3 linked regions of the Drosophila melanogaster genome follow. The protein of the gene in region 1 interacts with the protein of each later gene in a pairwise test. Each region holds a gene or a part of one and is shown in the gene's direction. Other genes may lie near its edges.

Region 1 (3,754 bases):
ACAATGCTCTCACTTAATATATGCCCAATATGTTAATACTCAAAATTAAAAAAAAAAAAAATCTTTTTATTTTAAGCTGAAAAAATATTTTCGGAACAGTGGAAAAGGAATAGGCTAACAAAAATTGAATTCAGTTGGCAGCAATTTTGAGCTTATCGATGTCAATTTCAGTCGGAGCACCTGGTCACACTGTCGTCGGTGTGCATGGGGAATAAGAACAAGAAAGATTAGATTCGTGCAGGCCAACGTATTTGCTCTAAATAGAATATCTGCAGAAACATGGACAACTTCGGACTGGGCGGATCGGATCTAAGCAAGGGGCAGATATTCCAGGTACTGGTTCGCCTGTCTGTGGCCTCGCTGATCACATATTATTCGGTGAAATGGATGATGAACCAGATGGATCCGACCAGTAAAAACAAGAAAAAGGCCAAAGTTCTGGCTGAGGAGCAGCTTAAGAGGTTTATATTAGACTCATATAGCATATATTGTACATGTGTAAACCTTTTCCATGCAGGCTAGCCGAGCAGGAGGGCTTCAAGCTAAGAGGGCAAGAGTTTAGCGACTACGAGCTTATGATTGCGTCACATCTTGTTGTTCCCGCCGACATAACAGTCAGTTGGGCCGATATCGCCGGTCTGGATTCAGTCATTCAGGAGCTCCGGGAATCGGTGGTGCTGCCAATCCAGCACAAGGATCTCTTCAAGCATTCGAAGCTGTGGCAGGCGCCCAAAGGCGTCCTGCTCCATGGACCACCGGGCTGTGGAAAGACGCTGATAGCGAAGGCGACGGCAAAAGAGGCGGGAATGCGCTTTATCAACTTGGACGTCGCCATTCTTACCGACAAGTGGTACGGGGAATCCCAGAAATTGACTTCTGCTGTCTTCTCGCTTGCATCGCGAATCGAGCCATGCATTATTTTTATTGACGAAATAGACTCATTTTTGCGATCTCGAAACATGAACGACCACGAGGCTACCGCCATGATGAAGACCCAGTTTATGATGCTGTGGGATGGCCTCAGCACGAACGCCAACTCGACGGTGATTGTGATGGGTGCCACGAACAGGCCGCAGGATTTAGACAAGGCCATTGTGCGCCGCATGCCAGCCCAATTCCACATTGGTCTGCCCTCGGAGACCCAACGAAAAGACATCCTGAAGCTGATCCTCCAATCGGAGGAAGTAAGTCAGGATGTCGACTTGAATCGCTTGTCCAAGCTCACAAATGGCTTCTCGGGCTCAGACCTGCGGGAAATGTGCCGGAATGCTTCAGTTTACCGAATGAGGCAGCTCATCACGTCCAGAGATCCGTCAGCTACAGCGCTTGATCGCAACAACGTCCGCATCACCATGGACGATTTGCTGGGCTCGCACTTAAAAATTAAGGAATCAAAGATGCACACGAGCAGCCTATTCTTAGAGAATAGAATCGAATTAGATTAAGCTGACCATTGTTTATTCAAGCTCCCGATATATCCAACTTAAATTTGTATAATAAACTTTTTATTTGCCTTTCGAGAGGAGCTCCAATGTTATGTGTTAATTAACCCTGTTCTCTGCATTCCAAAATGGGTATCCGGAAAACGTAGTTTTGGTAGTCTTGAAAACAGCAACGGATACTGCAGGAAATTACACAATCCATAGCATTTCCGTAAAGCGGAGCTCAATGCACTTTAATTATTACATTTACGGGCTTCTGTGAAATATTCACCTAGAGAAATTTCAAACATTTATAAAGATATTGCACTTGTACACTTCTTCAAACACACACACAACTTGCGTCACGCGACCGTGGGCTTTCAATCGTAAAAAAAAATATAAGTAAACTTGTGCAGTTTTATTCTCTTTTAAAAAGGTCGTTTATTTCTGACGGCATTTCAAAGCTACACATTTGTATATCTAATTAAAAATGAATAAAAACATGCATACATTTTAAATAATCAAACCAAAACAAATTAGTTCTTGATGTTTTTGTATAATTTCTTAATTTAAGAAAAATATAGAGTGTACAAACTTCAAGCGAAGAAATTTGCTTCTGCACATTTTAATTATGTTTCGTGCTCATATAAATACTTTCTTCGATTGGCTCAAATCATTTCTGTTGAAGGCGTTGATTAAACCACTTCAAATCCAAGCGAGACTATATACTTAACAAAAAATGAACCCAATGGTAAGCTATATTTCCAATTTGTCTTTTTGATAGGAGATATTTTGTATGTACATACTTCATTTACGCGCATCCTTTCTATTTCAGTTAACTTTGATTCCTGGATACCTATTCATAACCTTAATAATTATTGGAAGTACTGCACACAGTAATTCCTATGCTGTGAATAAAACCAATAGTGTCGAAAGTGCCGAGTGGAGCTATCCTGAATACGGAAAAGGATCTACTCACAATACCGGAAGAAGATCGGAAAAGCTGGATCTGCAACATTATAATCGGGAAACCGAACGCAATGTGACTTTGAAACGCGGTGTGAAAAACTATCAAAAGCAAGGCGATAAAATGACGAGGAATAAACTGAAATATAAGCCATCTGGTGCTCGAAGAAAAAATGTGAGTCCCAATTATGCGGATGAGAGTACGGAAAGTAGGCATTATCATACATTCGAAGAGATCCACGAGCATATCGATGAGGACGATGGTCAATACCAGGCATCCGAACAGGTCGGAACACAAGCGATTCTGCACGAACATGTCGAGCACTCGAGTAAGAAGGATGCGAAGCGGATGAAGGTGAAAATCAAGCATCATCATCACCACCATCATCACAACCACATAAAGGAGCTGATCAAAACAGTACCACAACCGTATCCCGTGGAAAAGGTCGTCCATGTGCCCATTGAGAAAATTGTCGAGAAGATCGTACATGTGCCCAAGCTGGTGAATGTTACAGTTGAGAAAATAGTGCACGTGCCTATCGAAAAGATAGTGGAAAAGGTGATTCACATCCCAAAGCCAGTCCAAGTGCCCAAACCATATGTGGTCGAAAAGATAATTGAGAAAATAGTCCACGTACCGAAACCGTATCCAGTGCTCCGGACTGTTCCGTATCCGGTCGAAATAAAGGTGCCAGTTCATCTCGAGAAGAAGGTACCAGTGCCCTATAAGGTTGAGGTAGAACGAAAGGTTCCCGTTTACATTCGTTCCAGCGAGCCATATAAGTTCGAGTCATCATCACTCTACGAAAGTTATCCACGCGGCGAGGAGTTCAAATTTAACATGGAAATGGATCATCCACCGCCCAGAGAACACGAACCATCCAGCCTACCATCCTCAAACTACTACAACAGGATATACAAATCTAGGGAATTGGATCATCCTCCGAGGATGGAGGACTATCAAAGCTCCGTGCCCACACAGTTAAAGCACGATTACGCAACGAAAACTAATCTCGATCAGCAGTTTAAAAACGAGTACGTGACGAAAAGTAGTATTGATCCTCAATTTAAGCACGATTACGTGACGAAAAGTAGTATTGATCCTCAATTTAAGCACGATTACGTGACGAAAAGTAGTATTGATCCTCAATTTAAGCACGATTACGTAACAAAAAGTAGTTTTGATTCGCAGTATAACCAGGAATACGTACCCAAAACTAGCATTGAATCGACTTCTCCTGGACGGGATGGGGTTTCCCTGAAACTCGTCGGTCCCCCTACTCCTTTCAATATCACGGGAAAGGATTTGGAGACCGCCAACTCTGCTCCAGACTTTGTCAATAGCTCCAACGTAGACCTAAGTCCAC
Region 2 (3,754 bases), on another chromosome or scaffold:
CCAAGCGTTCCCGCTCCCGTTGACGTTCTTGGCAGCGAGCCAAGGCCTCAGCGCGCTCCTTATCCCTGGCTGCCTCCCGTTCCGCACGCTCGCGCTCCCGATCCCGACGATCTCGCTCCCGCAATGAGAGATCGTGGCGTTCGCGCTCTCTTTCTCGTTCTCGCTCGCGCTCCCTTTCCCGCTCCCGTTCCAGGGACGGAGTACGTCCACGTGCGCGGGTCTGGATGATGATCTTCTCTCGCGACATCAGTTGGTGATGCATTCGCGAGGATGAGCTGCTGCTGCCGCCTCCAAGACCAGAACCTAAACCTTAAAGTCAAGCAAAATTAATGGGTTAGTGGGTTGAGCCTAGACATAACTATATGTAGTATCTGATAGTTACCTGGACTCTTTTGCCGCTTACCCACGATGTCCTGATGGATGCGAATCTTGGTGGTGGTGGTAGTGCTGCTGCTCGGCGGACTCCTACTGCTGCCCAATCGATGATGGTCTCGCTCTCTGTCTCGTTGGACGACGCGCAGCTTGTCCCGCTCCCGTTGCTCCTTGCTGGCAGCCCGTAGCCTCTTTCGCTCGGCCAGCTTCTTTAGCTTGGCTCGCGTCGTCGGCGACAGGGAACGATGGACGTGACCACTGAGGGCGGCGGCCGCCCGTTTCTTAAGGCGCGCTTCCTTCAGTTTCCGTTTGATATGATTTCGCTTGGCCACCAGCTTCTTTTGCACATGATCCCGTTTGTCTCGCTTGCGGCGCGACGACGATGGTTCATCTCCGGACGAGCTGCCGCCGCGCCGTGAGCTCTTCTTTTTGCGATGATGACGCTCCGCGGAGCGCGGATGATGCCCATGGCCGTGGGTATGGGGATGACCGTGGACGCTGCCACTGCCGCCGGGACCACCGGCGCCACCAGGTACGCCCACCCCCACGCCGACGCCGCCCACGCCCTGCTCGCTGTCCGTGCTGCTGTACGAGCTGCTCCCGCTGTCGGAGTCCGAGGTGGAGTCCGAGCTGCTCGAGTGCGTCGCACTGTGACGGGCGGCCTTCTTGTAGCGGCGCAGCGACTCCTTGGCCTTCTTCTCCATCGCCGCGATCTCCGCTAGCCTGCGCGCCTCCGTTTTGGCTGCTTTCTTTTCGTACTCCGGTCGAAAATCAGCACGGCTATGCGGCTTATAACTAGTTGCAGCGTGTCTTGTGGTATAATGTCCTTGTTCGGAGGCGCGGACTTGCCTTGTTGTCTATTTTGTTGGCGTTTTCTTTAACTCTTCTTCTTCTCTATTTTCCTCTATATCTTCGTGTTTGTTGTTATCGATAGTCGATTGGCAGGGCATCGCGACCATCGATTACAGTCAGCACGGCGGTACATATCGATCGGTATAAGTTTGAAAATATTGTTTATTATTGTATCACATTATTATAATAAAATATAATTAAATAATTAAGTGCCTTTAACTATAAATAAATATTAATTTAACATTAAAAATATTATTAAAATTAATAATATTAATTAATACTTGTATTTATATTAATATATTGTATTTTTGTAACAATTTCTGCTTAAAATGAGTTCGGTTTTGGATTGAATTACAATTTCTATATCAATTTACCGGTTCAGCAACGGGGATTCAAATCTGACTTGTTATCCATTTTTATACCCGTTACTCGAAGAGTAAAAGGGTACCCTAAATTTGTTGAAAAGTATGTAGCAGTCAGAAGAAGGCGTTTCCGACCATGTACAGTATATATATTCTTGATCAGGAGTCGATCTAGTCATGTCCGTCTGTCCGCCATGTCCGTACCTAGAAGGTTGAGATCCAGCATACAGATTCTAGAGACAAAGACGTAGCGCAAGTTTGTTGATCTTTTTTCGCATTTTTATTAATCTTGTAAATTTCTATCGATTTGCCCAGAAAATGATAAAATTTCGCGTTCTCACATCCACTAGCTGAGTAACGGGTATCTTATAGTCGAGGAACTCTCTTTAGTTGATTTAAATTCCACGCATCCAAAACATTGTATAAAGCAGCCTGTTCTACTACTCAGTTAAACTGAACTTTTCATTTCGAAAAGATTTTCAAATCCAGCTGGCTATGCCTCTAGTGTCAAGTCGTATTACGGGCACTTCACCGGCTTCTCCTCAGTTTTGCTACACAGTTCGACACTTCAACACCTCAACACCTCAACACCTCATCGCCTCGGCACACATTCTCTCTCAACAAAAAAAAAAAAAAAACACATATATTTTTATAAGTACACATTTTAACTTAAAGTCTCATTCATTCGCTCGAAAACCGATGAATTTGTTGCGCCGGCAGCCTCGGCTGCTGAATAAACGGAGCACGTGGCTGTTTAGAAATTACGTGTTGGCCAACAGGGATGTGTCCGAACCCGTTTCCCGTCCTGCGGCGCCTATGTCCACCCTATCGATACCCGGACCAGCGCTGGCTGCCGCCACCCCAGTATCCGCCGTATCCCTGGTACCCCGGTGCACCCACTCCAGCCTCCAAGGAGGTGGACAAGGAGCAGGTTAGTTCTAAGTGAAAAGTTTTCTGATTCCACAATTTTCTGGGTTGTCAATGACTTTGTCATAATGACATTTCATAAATGACACCTGCACTTATTGATATGCTTAACTGAAATTTCTATATTCATTAAAGGAGGAAGAGGGCTCAGAGGATCAGCCACCGGAGGATCAGCCGCCGGAGGAATCGCCACAAAACGACAGTACTCCGGAGGAGCAGCCCCCGCCGGAGCCGCCAAGCCGGGAGGAGCAGCCCCCGCCGGAGCCGCCAAGCCCGGAGGAGCAGCCCCCGCCGGAGCCGCCAAGCCTGGAGGAGCAGCTGCCGCCGCCGCCGGATCCGCCAAGCCCGGAGGAGCGTCCACCGGAAAGCCAGCTTCGGGCAACGCACCAGCAACGCCTCCACCTCCACCACCTCCTCCGCCTGCTAAATCTGCACCCCCAGTGAAAGCGAAGAAGCCGCGATTGAAGACCTTCGAGATCTACCGCTGGAAGCCCGGGGATCAGCCGCAGACGCAGACCTACGAGGTGGACCTGGAGCAGTGCGGCGCCATGGTGCTGGATGCCCTGATCAAGATCAAGAACGAGATGGACCCCACGCTGACCTTTAGGCGCTCCTGTCGCGAGGGCATCTGCGGCTCCTGCGCGATGAACATCAATGGAACAAACACCTTGGCCTGCGTGTCGTCCATCGACCAGAATGAGAGCAAGTGCTGCCGCATCTATCCACTGCCGCACCTGTATGTGGTGCGGGATTTGGTGCCGGACATGAGCCAGTTCTACGATCAGTACCGCTCCATCCAGCCGTGGCTGCAGCGCAAGGATCTGAAGCGGGAAGCTGGAACGGCACAGTATCTGCAGTCCGTGGACGATCGTCTGGTGCTGGACGGGCTGTACGAGTGCATCCTGTGCGCCTGCTGCCAGACCTCCTGTCCATCATACTGGTGGAACAGCAATAAGTATCTGGGTCCCGCCGTCCTCATGCAGGCCTATCGCTGGGTCATTGATTCCAGGTGAGTGAGGCCATGTTGCTGCCAGTTTCCCCAGTGTGCTAAGATTTGCTTTGCAGGGACGAGGCCACCGAGCAGCGACTGGACTTTCTCAAGGACCCCTGGAAGCTATACCGCTGCCACTCGATCATGAACTGCACCAACACGTGCCCCAAGCACCTCAATCCGGCTAGAGCCATCATTCAGCTGAAGCAGCTGCTTGTGGGACTGAAGAAGAAGGGAAAACCACAACTCA
Region 3 (3,754 bases), 2.4 Mb from region 1:
CGTTCACAGGGATCAGGATAATCATCACAGCCAAACCGGCCAGCACAGACGGTCCCAGTTGCTGCCAAAGGAAATACAGGGCTAGACCGATCTGCAGTGGCGCCGACCAGATCATGTTTAAGTAGGTTGTCAGTTCCATGAATCGCTGGGCATCCACGGCCATCAGGTTGACGATCTCGCCCACGGTGGACTCCTTTTTGGTGGAGTTCGAAATGCGCAGGGCCTTGCGGTAGATGGCATTGATCAAAGCTGTCCTGATTCGCAGGCCCACAATGAACATTCGGTGGAAATATTGCCCCAGAATAAAGGTCTGTGCAGCGGCCAAAACGAAAAGCAGGACAGCGTATAAGATACCCTTCCATTCGGGCTCGGCATCTTGGGCCTCGACGAAGCTGATGATCAAACTCAGGACTTGGGGCTGGGCAAATGTCAGGGTGTCGGTGAACAGCTTCATTAGGGCGCCGAACAGAAAGACGCCTCCGAAGGACTTGTAAATTGGCGGCATAATACTGGCCATGCCCTTCTTGCGGCCATTCTTCTCACCGTGGGGATTCTCAAAGGTCACGTTGCCATTGCTAAACTGCGCCTTGGGTTCTACGCGCGCCTTGTTCTTGTAGTTCTTGCGCACGTTCTGGTTCCAGTGGTGGGCGAAGATGGGCATGACCTCGGAGCAGCTGTCCTGCGGCCTCAGGTCCCACAGATCCTTCTCCTCCAGCGGGTTGCGATAGCCCTTGAGGGCCATTTTGTCGAACCACTGATAGGTGATGCGGGAAAGGAAACTGGCTGACAGTTCGGGAATCTCGTTCTCACCCCTCTGGTACTTGGTTTGTCTGGGCATTCCGTCCGCGAAGCAGTTCAGGATCAGCATAATGCTGGTGAAGGTGAAGAAGATAAAGAAGCTAACGAACTGATACTCCTCCCAGGAAAAGTCCTGCTCGGATGGCTGTTGCGAATTCAGAATCTTCTGGCGCTCCGCGTCCAGTCGAACTTCAGTGCGGCAGCGGGGAATCGACAGCACAGTGAGCAGGAACCAGAAGATGAACTGACATCCCGTGGTCTGCACGCCATACTTTCGATTCAGCGGGATGAATATGAAGAGCAACAGGAAGGTGGCGAACTTGATGATGGGACCCCAAACATCCAGGTCGTAGAGCGGCAGCTCAGAGTCGCCGCCCTTCTTGACCAGCGCCATAATTAGGTCCAGGGCAGTGATTACCAGCAGACCCAGATTCACCAGAGCTTTGCTCACGTTCAGCTTGTTCCACGGTATATTCCTGTCCAAACTCGCCTTCAGGTAGTAAAAGTCAAAGATCACGAACGCCCAGTAGAAGGCGCAGGGTGTCCAGACCAGCGCCGTTTGCTCAAAGCAGGGCGTAAAGTCCGGATCGTTGGTATACCATGTCTCTGTTGCGTTCTGTTCGTTGGACACACGGAAACCATACATTTACACTATGCATTCGGATTGAACACCACTGCTGATGCACTCACCCAGAACGTGGATCCGCAGAATCTGTCCATCGGCGAACTAGTGTCATCCGCCATGGTTACTCGACTGCTCGGCAACCTCCTCCACGTGCAATTGGGCTATATGCGTATGCTATATCGGGCGATGTGGTAACTGTAAAGCGGCAAGGAAATAAACGGATCTATATTTTCGGGCCAACAGCTGTTCCTTCCCAAGCCGCACAACTACAACAACCGCTAATCGTGACAGTGGGAAGTTGATTGCTAGTATTTTTCTGGTATTTCGCGGGCACAGTGGGTGTCGGATGGAAAATGAGTGTATAATTCTGCACTGCGTGTTATTTTAATTGTTTATATTGATTTAAGTGAAACTTGTAATTTTTGTACATAAATTATTAAAATACATTTGCTTGGAAAACTTAGTAGAAGCAAGTAGAAATCAATTGCATTTGCAACAGCAAAAATACAAATGAATTTCTTAAATTTGGATTAAGCTTTTAAAGTTTCATATAGAAATTCATAGCAATTATTCTCGAAAATTCTTGTCATTTACTTTTTATTAATGAGCACCCTGTACAGGGAAAACGCCTATCTAGTATTTTTAGCCTATCGCATGGCATTAAATGTTTTTCCACCGGCGTTCACACTGTCACATTAGTTTTCATTTCAATCGAGTTGACAGCTCCATTCTGGCAAATAAAATTTGCGTTTTTCGCTCGTCGCTCAGCGCAAAAATAGCATTTGCATTGGATTAACTCGTAACTGGCAATTGAAATCGTGCAGCAAAATGTCGCGTCGTTCCAATTTCATTGAGGGCAACGACAATTTTCGCGACCAGAACCTGCGCTTTGTGCGGGTAAGCAAAACTTGAGAAATTCGATGTGAGGAACTATCTGCGCCACTAAAGATGAACTTGTTTTTTTTTTTTTTCATTTTCTAAATGCAGAACGAGTTTGAGGACAATATTAACCAGTACTTTGGAGGCGCCGATCCGGAGGGCAGCGGCCCGCAGCAGAAACCGCCGCCGCGAGACTCGCTGATTGTCCAGCCGACCGCAGGTAAGTGGCGTCCATTGCAACAGCCGGAGCTTCACATGGCACAGCAATCGCTGCCGGTGGCGCGGAGAATCTAACCGGAGATTACAGCCAGCTAGTAGTAGGCATGACTCTGGGTTTATGGTCTACTTAGCACTTGTGTGTGCACAGTAATCTCTGCGAGCGCGGAACCATGTCAACCTGATAAACATCTCACGTCGACGTCGATTGCGCGTAATCGCTCGGGGTGGTACAGTGAACCCGCGATAAGGCGAACAAACGCACGCGAATGGAACACGTCATAGGACAGAAAAACCCATCCTAACGAATCTTCGACAAGACTTTAAAAACCAATTACGAATATTGAAAACATATCCGAATTACTTGTATTTAAAATTGAATCAATTGCTCTAAATTTTTTAATTAATTCCGTAAGTTAACTATAGTTTGTGCACACTTTTTGTATATTCAAATTTCCAATCTTTTAATGGTTATTAATTAGTATTTTGCACTTAACTATTGGATAATTCGTCAAAACAAAGGCAAAAAATCAATTATCCAAACAAATCAGTTTAATTCCTATGCACACTATTATTTGACAAACTATCTATCGTATTGAAACAAAAAGAGGGTTGAGCGGGTAGTTAGTACGAAGTTTTGTAATCTAGCCGTCGTTATTGTGCGCTACGGCAGTTAAGTGTTTACATGTCCAGGGCCACTTGGAGGAAGGTCTAATCGCGCCCACTTGAAACGATAGTTTATAGTCCAGCGAGATTGTACAATGCCAATGACAAATGAGCGACTAAAACGTGTTTCCCCGCCTCGAAGAAGAACTAATTTACACAGAGATACACACAACTAAAAAGAAGGAATGAGAAACTTTAAGCGAATCTTGAACGGAGCTCATAAAAGGTATTGGGCTAGTCACATTTTATGGGCGCCAAAAACTTGTTTGCCCCGTACACGCATGTGTTTTAAGCCATTTGACTTTAGATAAAATTCTAACACATCTGAAACGAGTATTTTCAGTTCGATATAATTAACGGCGAAACCTGTTCCCGCAGCGATTATATAAGCACAAAACAATCGGCAGAAAAAACCCCCTTACAAAACCTAATATTTCAATTGTACGAAATGTGTGTGTTTTGCCTTTACACCCAAGTGAAATTTCTCTTTAAAAACAAAAACGTCGACTCACGATGAGATGCTAAGCAAAATGGCATGGAGATCTCTTGGCTGCACCATAAAATCAAGGA

The links.
Region 2: the proteins of CG13138 (region 1) and SdhBL interact in a two-hybrid assay, tested with the Drosophila melanogaster proteins (one large-scale study listed by BioGRID).
Region 3: the proteins of CG13138 (region 1) and Pih1D1 interact in a two-hybrid assay, tested with the Drosophila melanogaster proteins (one large-scale study listed by BioGRID).

What each region holds. Positions count from the first base shown.
Region 1 is NT_033779.5:10,300,362-10,304,115, reverse strand, and holds the start of CG13138 (uncharacterized protein), read left to right. Parts: upstream 1-2,097; 5' UTR 2,098-2,160; coding exon 2,161-2,172; intron 2,173-2,256; coding exon 2,257-3,754. Other genes in the region: nmd (no mitochondrial derivative), read left to right, coding at 280-461, 518-1,445.
Region 2 is NC_004354.4:18,892,377-18,896,130, forward strand, and holds the start of SdhBL (succinate dehydrogenase, subunit B (iron-sulfur)-like), read left to right. Parts: upstream 1-2,069; 5' UTR 2,070-2,285; coding exon 2,286-2,517; intron 2,518-2,648; coding exon 2,649-3,522; intron 3,523-3,578; coding exon 3,579-3,754. Other genes in the region: Flacc (Fl(2)d-associated complex component), read right to left, coding at 1-309, 383-1,076.
Region 3 is NT_033779.5:12,720,219-12,723,972, reverse strand, and holds the start of Pih1D1 (PIH1 domain containing 1), read left to right. Parts: upstream 1-2,129; 5' UTR 2,130-2,251; coding exon 2,252-2,320; intron 2,321-2,410; coding exon 2,411-2,522; intron 2,523-3,754. Other genes in the region: MRP (Multidrug-Resistance like protein 1), read right to left, coding at 1-1,414, 1,489-1,542.